Oryzias latipes: one gene and its partners. The protein of the gene in region 2 interacts with the protein of the main gene of each other region in a biochemical or structural test. Links are inferred from orthologs where the notes say so. Each region holds a gene or a part of one and is shown on either strand. Other genes may lie near its edges.

Region 1 (3,846 bases), about 21 Mb from region 2:
GATACTGTGGACCCAGCATGTTTAGTTTCATTTGTAAAGATGTAGTTTTATGTCCCAACAGTAAAATAATCTGACCAATATAAAGCTATGATCAGATTAGTAGAAATGAGTTCCAAAATTTTTTGACAAGTGGAAATGACTGTTTGTTTCCATAAATGGGTTTCCTGTTTGTAAAGTTATGTGTCACCCACACCTCAGATACTAGTTACACATACCAGTTAAGCCTTCCTCCATACCGGTCAGGTGAGGTAGAAACAGGTGTGAGCATGCTCAGACCAGGTTGACTTAAACAAACACTCACTGTTCGCCTCAGAATCAACTTTCATTCGAGTAAGGATCTGCGTTCGACAGCAGAACTGACACATTAGGTTGAAAAATTGTGTAATATTTGTTGTACCTAATAAGATGACTTTTGTGTTTCTTTCTAGAGACCCGGGATGGAAGAAATAACAATATGGGACCAGCAGACAATAACTCTGAACAAAGTAAGTGAATTTTCTGATCAGACTTTAATGAGGGATATGGCTAAAATAAGTGTTTAGATTACTTTTCATTCAATTCAATTCAGTTTTTGCCTAGTGTTTCCAACGGCAGCATTTGGGTAGTATACAGTGGCTATGCGGAAGGCGCCCTGGCTCAGGCAGTTTCCGTATCGTCTCTCAGGGCTTTGTGTGGCTCTTTCAGTGCTTCTGCTGCAGGTGCTTGGGTTTCGCAGCACAGACCCAAGCAGGAATTCAGAAGCGCCACACCCTGTTGTTGCACCGCGGCACCCTCCTGTCTTTGGAATGTGCTCTGTCTCCCTCTATCTCCCTCTGGCATCACCTGCTCACTCTTCTGCATTGTTCTTCTCCTCTGCTTCCTTTTTTGTCTCATTCATCTTTTTGGTTTTTTTTTTTTCAATCACAGGACCCCAAACTGGGTTTTGGTTTTGCCATATCAGGAGGGAGAGACAAACCTAACCCAGAAAATGGAGAAACTGCTGTGGTGGTGTCTGATGTTCTGCCAAATGGACCAGCCATGGGACGACTGTTGTGAGTTTACCATTCTTGGCCATTAGATAACCACTTCTATCGCTATAGACCCTAAGTAGCTCATGCTCACAGATTCACATTTTTATGAGAGTTTCCTTGATTTTTATAGTCATAAGGATCAAATTACCATGGTCAATGGCATACCTATGGACAACGTCCACTCAAACTTTACCATTCAAACTCTCAAAACATGCGGAAAGACGGCAAACATAGTAAGTATGGAAAAATGAATAACAAATTAAAGGAAAGAGGGAAACCATCAATCTACGCCAATTTATTTATTTATTTATTTTTGCAGACTGTGAAACGTTCTCGAAAAATACAAATCCCAGCAACCACAAAACCAAAGCGGGCAGTGTCCCAGTCCAACCTGCTGGATCAAGACTACCCCAGACGAACCCGCCGCTTCTCCGACAGCAGTGATCCCCGGGATGCAGATCGCTACCGTTCCAAACCCCGCAGCACGACACCTGACCGCAATGGCTATGGAAACAACTCGCCAACTCTGGTGTCCTCTAGCTACAAGAGGCTTCCAAAAAGCACTGCTTCAGACAAACCTATCAAAACCACTTTGATCAAAAAGAAAACCACAGATGGTAAAGAATAGCTTTAGTGTAACATTTATGTTCAAACTTGAACATCTCCTAATTTGTGTTTCTAACATGTTTTGTTTTCTTTCATTTATTCGAATTCTTTTTGCAGAATATGGACTCAAGTTGGGCAGCCAGATTTTTATAAAGCACATGACTGAAACTGGCCTAGCTGCAAGAGAAGGTTCCCTGCAGGAGGGAGACCTCATTCTCAAGGTGAAGAACTGCTACAGTAACGGTTGTGGACTTTTTTTTCCTATCGATGCTGCATTAAAAAGTCCTAATCCATCTGTCTTGATCTCTTAATGTGCAGATCAACGGCATGACAACAGAGAATCTATCTTTGCTGGAGACCAAGCACCTGGTGGAGAAGAGCAGGGGAAAGCTGACCATGATGGTCCTCAGAGATGACCGCAAGTTCCTGGTCAGCATCCCAGAAATAGACGACAGCCCCCACAACACGGGGGACGAGCGCCGCAGATATAGTAGCTCTGAACTGGAAGGTCAATACAATTTTCTTGGGTTTCATTTGAGAACCAAGAGTCTTAAAGCATCAGATAAAGAACTTACAGTATTTCATCCTGTCTTTGCAGAAATTTCAGACCTTGATGAAGACTTGATTCCTCGCAGAACAGCCCGTCAAACTGCTAAAGAGAAGCGGACACGCAGGTACAGACTTCCACCGTACTTTAAACAAGCCACGTCCAGTAGACGGCAAACTTTATTGACAAAAAACGTTATTTCTAATCCAGAACCAGAGCTGAGCCAATTCCTGTGGTGAAGTCTCGTGACTCCTCCCCGATGCGCTCCACCTTGGGACGGCCTGCAAAAAACTACGCCCCTCGCAGACGTCAGTCCTGCTGCAACCACTTTCTCTTCAAAATAAAAGACATCATCACTAACTGATGATGCTTTAATAGTACAGAGATATACATGAAAACTCTCTAAGCAGAAGAGTTTGTTTGTTTCTGACAGCAGTTATTGACAGAACCCTTCTAATGTTTCAAACCCCTCATTGTTTCTTCAGCTCCTTCTGACTCAGAGTCCGACCGCAGCGCCTCCCCTCTTCCCGTCAAAAGAGAGAGTCCTGAAATGAGGGATTCCAGCAAATATAAGTAAGTTCACCTTCATTCTTTGAACTGAGAACTTGTGTGTGAAGTGTATTTATTCCTTCTTGACCTGCAAGATAACCCCTGTATGGATAAAAGTCAGCTTCACGATTATTGAAGGTGATTTGACTAAAAGCATCTGTATTTAGCATTTTTTATGTATAATAAAAACAATATAAGTTGCAAAAATCATTTAACATAATAATTGATCATCTTCCTTTTTTTGCAGATGCTGTAGGGCGTTTTATTTTAAATAACAGTTTTATTCATCCTCATGCTCTTGCAAAAGTCTTTACAATCTGAGTTGATCATCTCTTATATTATCCTCGTCTACCATGCGAAGGAGCTTTGTGGAGGACCGTGGGACCTAAACTGTTGAACTATTGTTTTTGTTTTTTACAGACCTCTGTCGGGAATGTCCACCCTCCCCAACCCGCGGTCCTCCCCTATACATCAAAACTGGTCCTTGCCTAGCTCCTCCAACACCTCCACATTGCCCCGCAGACCTGTGTCGGATTCTGACTCGGATGGCAGTGGCACCCCCCCTCCACGCAGACAGACCCCCCATGTTGACAGCAGATACAAGTACTGATATTTCTATTGAATATGTATAGGATTCAGCCAGTGTTTCAGCTCAGATTGTTCCTGACTAGATGCTTTTTCCTCCCGTCTGCAGAGTCCTTCCTGATCTTCATGGCGCCCTGAAATCCTCTCCCATCCCTGTTCGCCAGGAGCCACTGAGGAGAGTTAGCTCTCCCCTGAGGATTCCACGACCAGGTTGGAAAAGCAAACATGCGTCATTACATTTCCTCGTAATTGTGCACGCCCAGTTCCTTCTAAAACATTTCCTCACCAATATTTACCTAATAAATGTGAATGCCTGATATGCAGGTGTACACAAAGAAAGATGAGGCCAGGGTGTAACAGGAAAGTTCTTCTTAAAGAAAGCCTTTCCCAAGAGCCATGGCATTCGTTTGCAACGATATGCTGATGACACACAGCTTTACATCGCTGTGTCTCCTGCTGACAGAGATGATCGTACATGTTATGGACTTTCAGAACAAGACATCGAGACTTATCGAGATTAGAGAGAAACCTTTAAAACTATACAATTAT
Region 2 (3,846 bases):
CAAATTATTATGCATGTAAATAAAATCAAACCATGACATAAGTCTTTAATGTTCAAAAGGTCACATACAACGCAAGGCTTCTAAGCTCTCATTAGTAATTTTGATTATTTAAACATATTTGTCTATTACACAATAAGGAAAATAACATTAATTCCAAGTGAAGTTAAAAAAATAAATTATAATTTATTTACAAAAATAAGAGCAGTTTAGACAGTAATTACGTCAACATAAAGTATTAGCACATGATTGATATGTAGCATAATTGTGTATTTCTGCCATTTAGAATGCCACCAGCGGATAAACATTTATCTGCTAACACATTATTTATTTGAAATTGTTAAAATTACAACTGTATGTCTCTAAATTATCTTTAAATATGGAGCAGCATATCTTTGAAAGGGGACACTTGCTGGATGATCCATAAAGGCTGGCTAGCTATTCACCTAGATGGCTATTCAATTAACTAGGAAGGCTAAATCAAAGATTACATGATCAAAGAAGGTTTTTTGTGGTCATTAATAAAACAAATGTCGAAAATAACAGACAGCTTGACAGATTAACTGGTTATGTTGGTTTAAGGGCCACCGATTAAGCTAACAATAACTAGCTAATATTTAAGAACAAAGCTAACATGTTAGCAACATTGGAAAAAAAAACATAATTAAAAGTATCTAATTTTTCCCTGCATTTTGCCTCTAATAGCCTAAATATTAACTTTTGATTCAGCTGCTAAAAATAATTGTGTAACTGAAATTGAGAAAAGTTTAGAATAATAACATAATTTCAATTACAATTTCAAGACGTTTTTTTCAATTAGAGTCAATTTTGAATTCTGGGCAATCACAAACTGGTTTTTGATTTCATTGTTTCCTTTAAAAGTTACATTTGCTTCTTTGGATCTACTTTTTTTTTCTTTTAGAGAAAGCTGGTCAATCCTTAATCTATGCTAATTTTGAATCCTTCCATGTTGTGTCAACAGATCATCAGGATGAGAATGAATGAACGTGACTGAAACTAGGATATAGTTTCATATTTATATTTACATGCGCACACATCTCTGCGTTAACATTAGACTGTGGCCTCTTTTCATCTACAAAACATTTATTGTACAAAATAATTTCATTTTCCTCTCTATGACAACTATTATGGAAGACACCGTGTCTGTTGTTGGGGGGCAAGATTGGGTGTTCATGCTCACTAAGATTCATCTTCAAACCAAAAATGTTGTGGGACTGTTTAATGAAAGCCTTTAATCCTGCATCTGTGAGATTTACCTCTTACCTTTAAACACCGTTAAAACGGTCTTGTGCCATTTTCTTCAATACATTCTGCAAAGCTTCCTAAAGGACTAACGTCTTCAGGATAGTTTTTCCACATCCTGACAGTTAGAGCTCAAGAGGCTTTCCATGGAAACTAACTCCAAAGCAGTTTGTCAAAGAAAATAGGCAGCTGACGCTCTTCTGATGAATGTCAGGAAAACTAGCTGCTACTGATGGAATCAGAAGGTCATGAAGCTCCACGATCATCTCTTTTGTTTTATTTTTTCACAAAAATACATGGTTTCATTTCTGATATAAGAGCTAAACAGGTTGGATTATGCTCGAGTCCCTCTGACGTTCTAACTCCGATTTCCCAGCACAGAGCAGGACGTCATGGTTCCGCCCTCAATAACTAGACTTCTGCAACAATAGGTGTGCTGAACGGTGACAGAAGTCTTTAATCCAGAGCTCACAGTTTGGCTTCGGGATGATGGCACATTTCAAACATGTTTCTTATTGAATCTCAACCTTTTTTTTCTGTCCAAAAAGGCAAAAAAGCAAAACTAATTTTGGCATTTCCTTAAAACAAAACAAAAATTGTGTTTATATTGTTTTTTTGATCATTGCATTAAAGCAAACGTGCCAACGGGTTTGCTTTAAGAGATCAATGCAGATCTATTGATGCTTCTGCAGTGACAGATATGTCATAACTCCAGACAACAGCTTTACCATCAAAGCTGTGGATCAGAGCTACACAGGAAAACAGAAAGGAGTGATGGGATTTCAGACAAAATGCTTGGAAAGATCAGTTGGAGCTGATCCGCTTCATCCTTCTGCAGGTCTGGTATTGTATGATATTTCTAATTATCATTGTAAAAATGAACAAAGAAGAAGCCTGATTTTGGTGTTTAGGACTTTAGAGTTTGTGTCCCACTTAGCTGGATTCTGATGAAGAACCACTGAGCTAAAGAAGAGAAGGTTGTGAGATCAAACACCACTGTCTGGACAGATGAATGCATTGACGGTCCTCTCCGGGTTCAGTTCTGATCAGAGGACATCCCGCAGGAGAATAGTGCGTTGCATTAACTTTTTTGTTGGTGTCCAGACGTATATGTCCCAAAAGAAATAGACCAGAATTGAGGAGCTGCATGGATTGCTACGGTTTGGGACTTTTTGAAACAAAGGCCACCGAAAAAACCCAAAAGGAAGCAAACTGAGTTGACTTAAACGCTGAAGTTTTTAAAAGACACTGAAAATATAAAGCAACAGAACTGGAACCAGATCTGTGACTTTGGGAAATTCATAATGTTCTGGAAGAAACTAAGAACGTCTGACATCAGTGCGTGCTGGTCTGACCCTCCAATGTGTGTTTGAGTGGGAAAACACTGGGGAGAAGAAACTTGACATGCAGTTTGAAAGTGTTTGTGTGTGCATTCAGGTCACGTTATGACAGTATCTCCAGCGTGACGGTTCCTCTCTGTTTCTTCAGGATGGTCACTGCCTGCTCATGTGTCACACCCTGGAGGCTCTCACCGTTCACTGACAGGATCTGATCCCCCCGCTTTAGGCGCCCATCCACAGCCGCCGCCCCCTGAGACACACACCGTCATGAAAGTTTTGTGGCTTTAGCATCCAAAAACAGTTCATTAGTTAAATACTTTTAAAAATATGGCTGATAAACAAAACTGAATGGGAATGTCTCTGGGTCCCCCCAGAGGAGCTGGAGGAAGTGGCCGGGGAGAGGAAAGTCTGAGAATCTTTGTTTAGCCTGCTGCCCCCACGACCTGGCGCCGGGATAGGCGGAAGAAGATGGATGGATAAGTTTATTGTGGTGGCTTAGCTAGGTGGGTGGATGTAGCTAAGCCTAATTTGAGTCTATGGTCCTACCCAGTTGCCTACCTTAGAATTAAGTTCAGATGGATTGAACTAAGTCAGTATGGCTGACCTAGATTGGCGTTTCTTTTTGCTGTGACGTCATATACTATAAGCCAGTTGGTATAAGTCTATGTTGCTGACCTTGCTGAAAACTGTTTTCACATAGATGGGCAGGTCTCCATGGGGACTGCCGAAGCCTCCAACGATGCTAAAGCCAAGGCCATCAGAGCCTTTCTCCAGGGTGATGGTGTTGGGCTGCGGACCCCTGGGAGGGAAGAAGATAATTCAAGTTCACGATGGCACCAGCCCCCACCATACCATGTGTTTGTGGGTTCTCACTCAGACTCAGCTGCGTGGTGCGTTTCAGTGTCAGCAGATAAACTGGAGCCGCTGGTTAAACTCTCCACTTGAGAGGCGATGATGCTGATGTTTGTGTCGGCCACCACCTGAGACACAGACACACATGCGTACACAAACCCACAGAAAATCATTTGAGTACAATTTAAAAACAACATTTTAAAGCAAGCTAAAAAAAAGTCTAAAAAAACGACACTATACCTATTTAATAAGTATAGCCAACGACAAAAGTTCATTCATGGACTAATTCAAACCCTGATAGAAGAAGCCACATGCCATGAGTCTTCTTTCACTTTTGACTTCTCACATCAGGGGTCGCCACAGCGAAACAACCCTCCCTCGAGGATGAGTCGCA
Region 3 (3,602 bases), on a different chromosome or scaffold from region 2:
AGCCATCCAGAGGGCAGGAGTCTGACCCGGAGCAGGAAGAGGGCCAGGAGGAACCCTCTGAGCACAGCCTAGCAAGGAGCGTGGAAGCCCAAAGAGAGATCCTGGAGGAGGAGGAGGAGGAGGAGGAGGGTGACGAGGAGGAAGAGGGAGTGTCCTTGAAACATGACAGAGCAGGTGAAGCCTGCTGGACCCACAGCAACTATTCCATAAACAGAGTCTTACCGTCTGACCCCCCAGCAGCCAGCAGCTGCCTCGGACATCAGACTCCCAGCTCGCCGCCTGGCCCCGGCAGGCTGCCGCCGCACCGGTTCCATCGGGAGCACCGGGAGCCCCTGGCCCAGCAGGCGCTGGTCCTGCAGCCCACCAAGCAGGCTCAGATAGTCAAAACCAATCAGCACATGGGGGCTGTAGGGGGGCGCTCCACAGGGACCAGATCTCAGTACGCTCCGTCCAGCCCTTTACCCAGCAGGCACATGTCCAACATGCTGAAGCCGGGCCCGGGCATCGACATCAGCCCTCTGTCGACTCCGGCTGAAGAGCCTGTGTACGGGACCCGTGCGCTGCCGGCGTCCGCCTCCCCCTCCGCGGGTCACGGCTGTGAAAACGAGAACCTGCTTCCGCCCCAAACCTACAACGGCTCCAAAGCTCTGGGGCAGGACAGGCTGTCGGTCCACTCCGCATCCTCTCTGGACGGGTCGGCCCTCTCTGGACTCACGGGGAACCCCTCTGACCCGGGGAAGGAGGGCCTGTGTGCGGCGGCAGCATCTCAGGGAGGAAACCTCAGCGGCATGCGGGTGTCCAGCTCCACCAGCAGCTTGGCCTCCAGCAGCAGCCTATCTGACAGCGGCAAGCTCGGACCCGACGTCCGCTCCAAGATCTCCGACAAAACCAAGCTCGGCAAGCAGGCCGGTTCTGCGGCAGAGTACAAACCCAGACCTTTTATGGGAATAACTGACAAGACTGCACGCTTTCAGCAGCAGCAGCAGCAGCAGGTCCAGCAGCACCACCACAGTCTGCAGAGCCACCCAAGCCTGCAGTCCACTGGTCGCAGCTGGCTGAGCCGCTCCTGTGACGGCCCGGTGTGTCAGAACATGTCCGCCGTGAGCCTGCAGCCGGCCGACTGCGAGTTCCCCTACAGCAGAGCAGGCGGCGTCTACCAGGAGCAGCACAAACACCCGCCGCCTCAGAGCGGCTTACAAAACGGCATGCACGCCAAGGAATTTGCAGAGAAGTTCTGCCAAGCAGCAAACTGTTTCCGAGAGTCCAAGCCGCCGCTGGCTGTGCCCAAGCAGCACGGGTTGGCCCGAGATAATCCTGCCCTTCACGTAGCTTCAATGAAACCAAAGCGATCATTCATAGAGTCGAATGTGTAAACCAGTCTGTCTCACCGGCCAAAACTACAAGTGGGACGCTGTCCGTTTCTATTCTGCCCGGGTCTTTAAAGAAACGACGATGCACCAGAAGTTTCCAATCTGTCGCTTCAGCCTCCTGTTACACGAAGACACGTCCAACGCCCCGCTGCCCAGCTGGAGCCATTGCACTGATCCGTGGGCGTGTGCTGATCAACAACACGGCGACAGCCGGGCCGAGCAAGTGCTGCAGCCTCGACCTCCAGAAAAGTCTGGTCCTTCACTCTTTGCTCATGGGGAGTCCTTCAGTTTAATCCAAGGAAACTTCAACAGGGTGTTCAGCTAATAAAACGTCTCCTTTTACATCCTATTTAGTTTCCTGAGAGACGAGGGGCCATGTTTTCATTTAAAGGAATTCATGCACATCATTAGAAAGCAAGAAATGAGAAGTTAGACTTAAATAAAAGCTACAAGGAATTTTTTTTTTTTCTGTTTGTTTTAGGATAAAATCAGTTGAAGTGAAAGTGCTATGTACTGAGCTACAGCTACGTAACAAGACGACTGCTCTAAAGGTGCTGAAAGACCTTCTTTTAGGACTTTTCAGTCCAAAAAGAGGCAGATGTCTTTCTCTGGGACCAGATGACGGATTCCTGGGATTTTTACGTTTTTTTGAGCAGTTTGGAAAAAGTGGTGAATCTGTGTCTCGCTCATGATTGCATCCAAACACGTTTTTATTCCAGTCTGGATGTTCATTTCCAAACTTTATGCTCATAAAGCAAAAAAAACGATTTTGCTGGCATTTAGAAGTTCTTCACTTTCCTACATTTTGCAGATTCTCCCAGGCAGGCAGCACAAACAAAAACAAACAAAGCAATGGATTCCATCGAAACACCATCATGTTCAAAAAGTGAAGGCTTTGTAAGAGTATTCAGAGAAGCGATTGTAAGGAATGGGCATTCCGGTGTTTTTAGGAAGGATGTAAAAATCCTCACGTGTAAAATATATAAATATGTTCCATTTCTTTTTCAGTGAAGGTCTATGTTTTGTGTATTGGCAAGTTCAGACGTGTGAATTTTGAGTTTTCGGCACAATGTTGTTGAAATGGTGTTCAAATGTTAGTTAAGTATATATTTGTACATTATATGAATCACCGTTAACACTGAATTCCTGCTTGTTGTTGCCGTCTAGTTTAATTTATTTACAGCGCCAATGGCTTTGGTTAATTGTAAAAGCAATATATTTTATATAGTTATTTTTGCACAGCTACTAAGACATTTTACGATTCTTATTATTGTTGAGAGCTCAGTGCATGCTTCAGTTGCAGTTTATATTGCAAAAAGATATATATCGATCTATAAAAAATGAGCGATGGATGGAGGGCAGAGTGCCGCCGGCGTCATTTTATGATGTACGTTAAACGCAATTGTTGCCATGTTTTCAGTATTGTGAGCTTTATTAGCCGTGATCACATACTGTAATTGAACATTACTGCCATTGACACCATGGGAGACTGAATAAAGGCCCACTGAGGAATATCCCACTCTTCTGTTTGGTTTCTTCCAAAACGCGTAAAGAGAAGGATGCAACACGAGTAAAACCATGTTGGTTAGTTTGGTGGCTGCAGAATAAGTGAATCCATCTGTTTCTTTGTTTATCACAAGTTCCCTATTTTTTTTATTTGTTAAGGCAAAAATAATCTTAGAAGAGCGAAAAATCAGCTGTTTTGTAGGCAGAGTGATCATCTGATATTTCAAAGTTTTAAATAAAACTTTATTTCACACAATGTAAGTAGTTTGGATGTTAGAATTAGTGCTTTTAAAACATCTTAAACTTTGCAGCAATGTGCCTTGCATTATACATTTTTCAAAATAAAAGCAGTATTTATAAGGCCAACTGGGCCTGAAATGCTCATAATTTTATGAGATGAGACGGAGTAGCATTTTCAAGAACAACAATTGATCATTTGGTTCCCAATGGCAACGATGAGCTCTCGTCTAATGGTCTGACTTCCAGTGTGTGATTGCCATCTTCAGGGATCTGTTGGGGGTGAGGAGCGTGGTCCTGAGGGGCAGGTTTGTCATGGGACTGGTTTTGTGCTTTCCTCGGATCCAGCTCTCTATGGACTCGCGCTCATAGGAGAACCCATCTGTGGAGTAGAAGGACACGTTTTGGTTCCAGAATTCCTGTGGTGAAGCTCTGATGCCAGATCGACTCTGGTCCGACTGCGATGTGTCTCCCTTGCGTTGTGAGGGG

What was found.
Region 1: the proteins of patj (region 2) and tight junction protein ZO-3 form a complex in vitro, tested with the Homo sapiens proteins (2 studies listed by BioGRID and IntAct, with this or other methods). The link is inferred for Oryzias latipes from reciprocal best matches to the Homo sapiens genes PATJ and TJP3.
Region 3: the proteins of patj (region 2) and tanc1 interact in a test that uses a peptide from one of them, tested with the Homo sapiens proteins (2 studies listed by IntAct, with this or other methods). The link is inferred for Oryzias latipes from reciprocal best matches to the Homo sapiens genes PATJ and TANC1.

What each region holds. Positions count from the first base shown.
Region 1 is NC_019862.2:27,012,134-27,015,979, reverse strand, and holds part of tight junction protein ZO-3, read left to right. Parts: exon of another isoform or gene 1-330; intron 331-428; coding exon 429-485; intron 486-906; coding exon 907-1,031; intron 1,032-1,140; coding exon 1,141-1,243; intron 1,244-1,329; coding exon 1,330-1,627; intron 1,628-1,733; coding exon 1,734-1,837; intron 1,838-1,934; coding exon 1,935-2,124; intron 2,125-2,214; coding exon 2,215-2,290; intron 2,291-2,373; coding exon 2,374-2,471; intron 2,472-2,648; coding exon 2,649-2,736; intron 2,737-3,132; coding exon 3,133-3,315; intron 3,316-3,406; coding exon 3,407-3,507; intron 3,508-3,846. UniProt on the Homo sapiens protein: TJP1, TJP2, and TJP3 are closely related scaffolding proteins that link tight junction (TJ) transmembrane proteins such as claudins, junctional adhesion molecules, and occludin to the actin cytoskeleton.
Region 2 is NC_019862.2:6,373,816-6,377,661, reverse strand, and holds part of patj (inaD-like protein), read right to left. Parts: intron 3,581-3,846; coding exon 3,474-3,580; intron 3,400-3,473; coding exon 3,276-3,399; intron 2,851-3,275; coding exon 2,704-2,850; 3' UTR 1-2,703.
Region 3 is NC_019879.2:20,913,804-20,917,405, forward strand, and holds the end of tanc1 (protein TANC1), read left to right. Parts: coding exon 1-1,373; 3' UTR 1,374-2,889; downstream 2,890-3,602. Other genes in the region: WD repeat, SAM and U-box domain-containing protein 1, read right to left, coding at 3,344-3,495. UniProt on the Homo sapiens protein: May be a scaffold component in the postsynaptic density.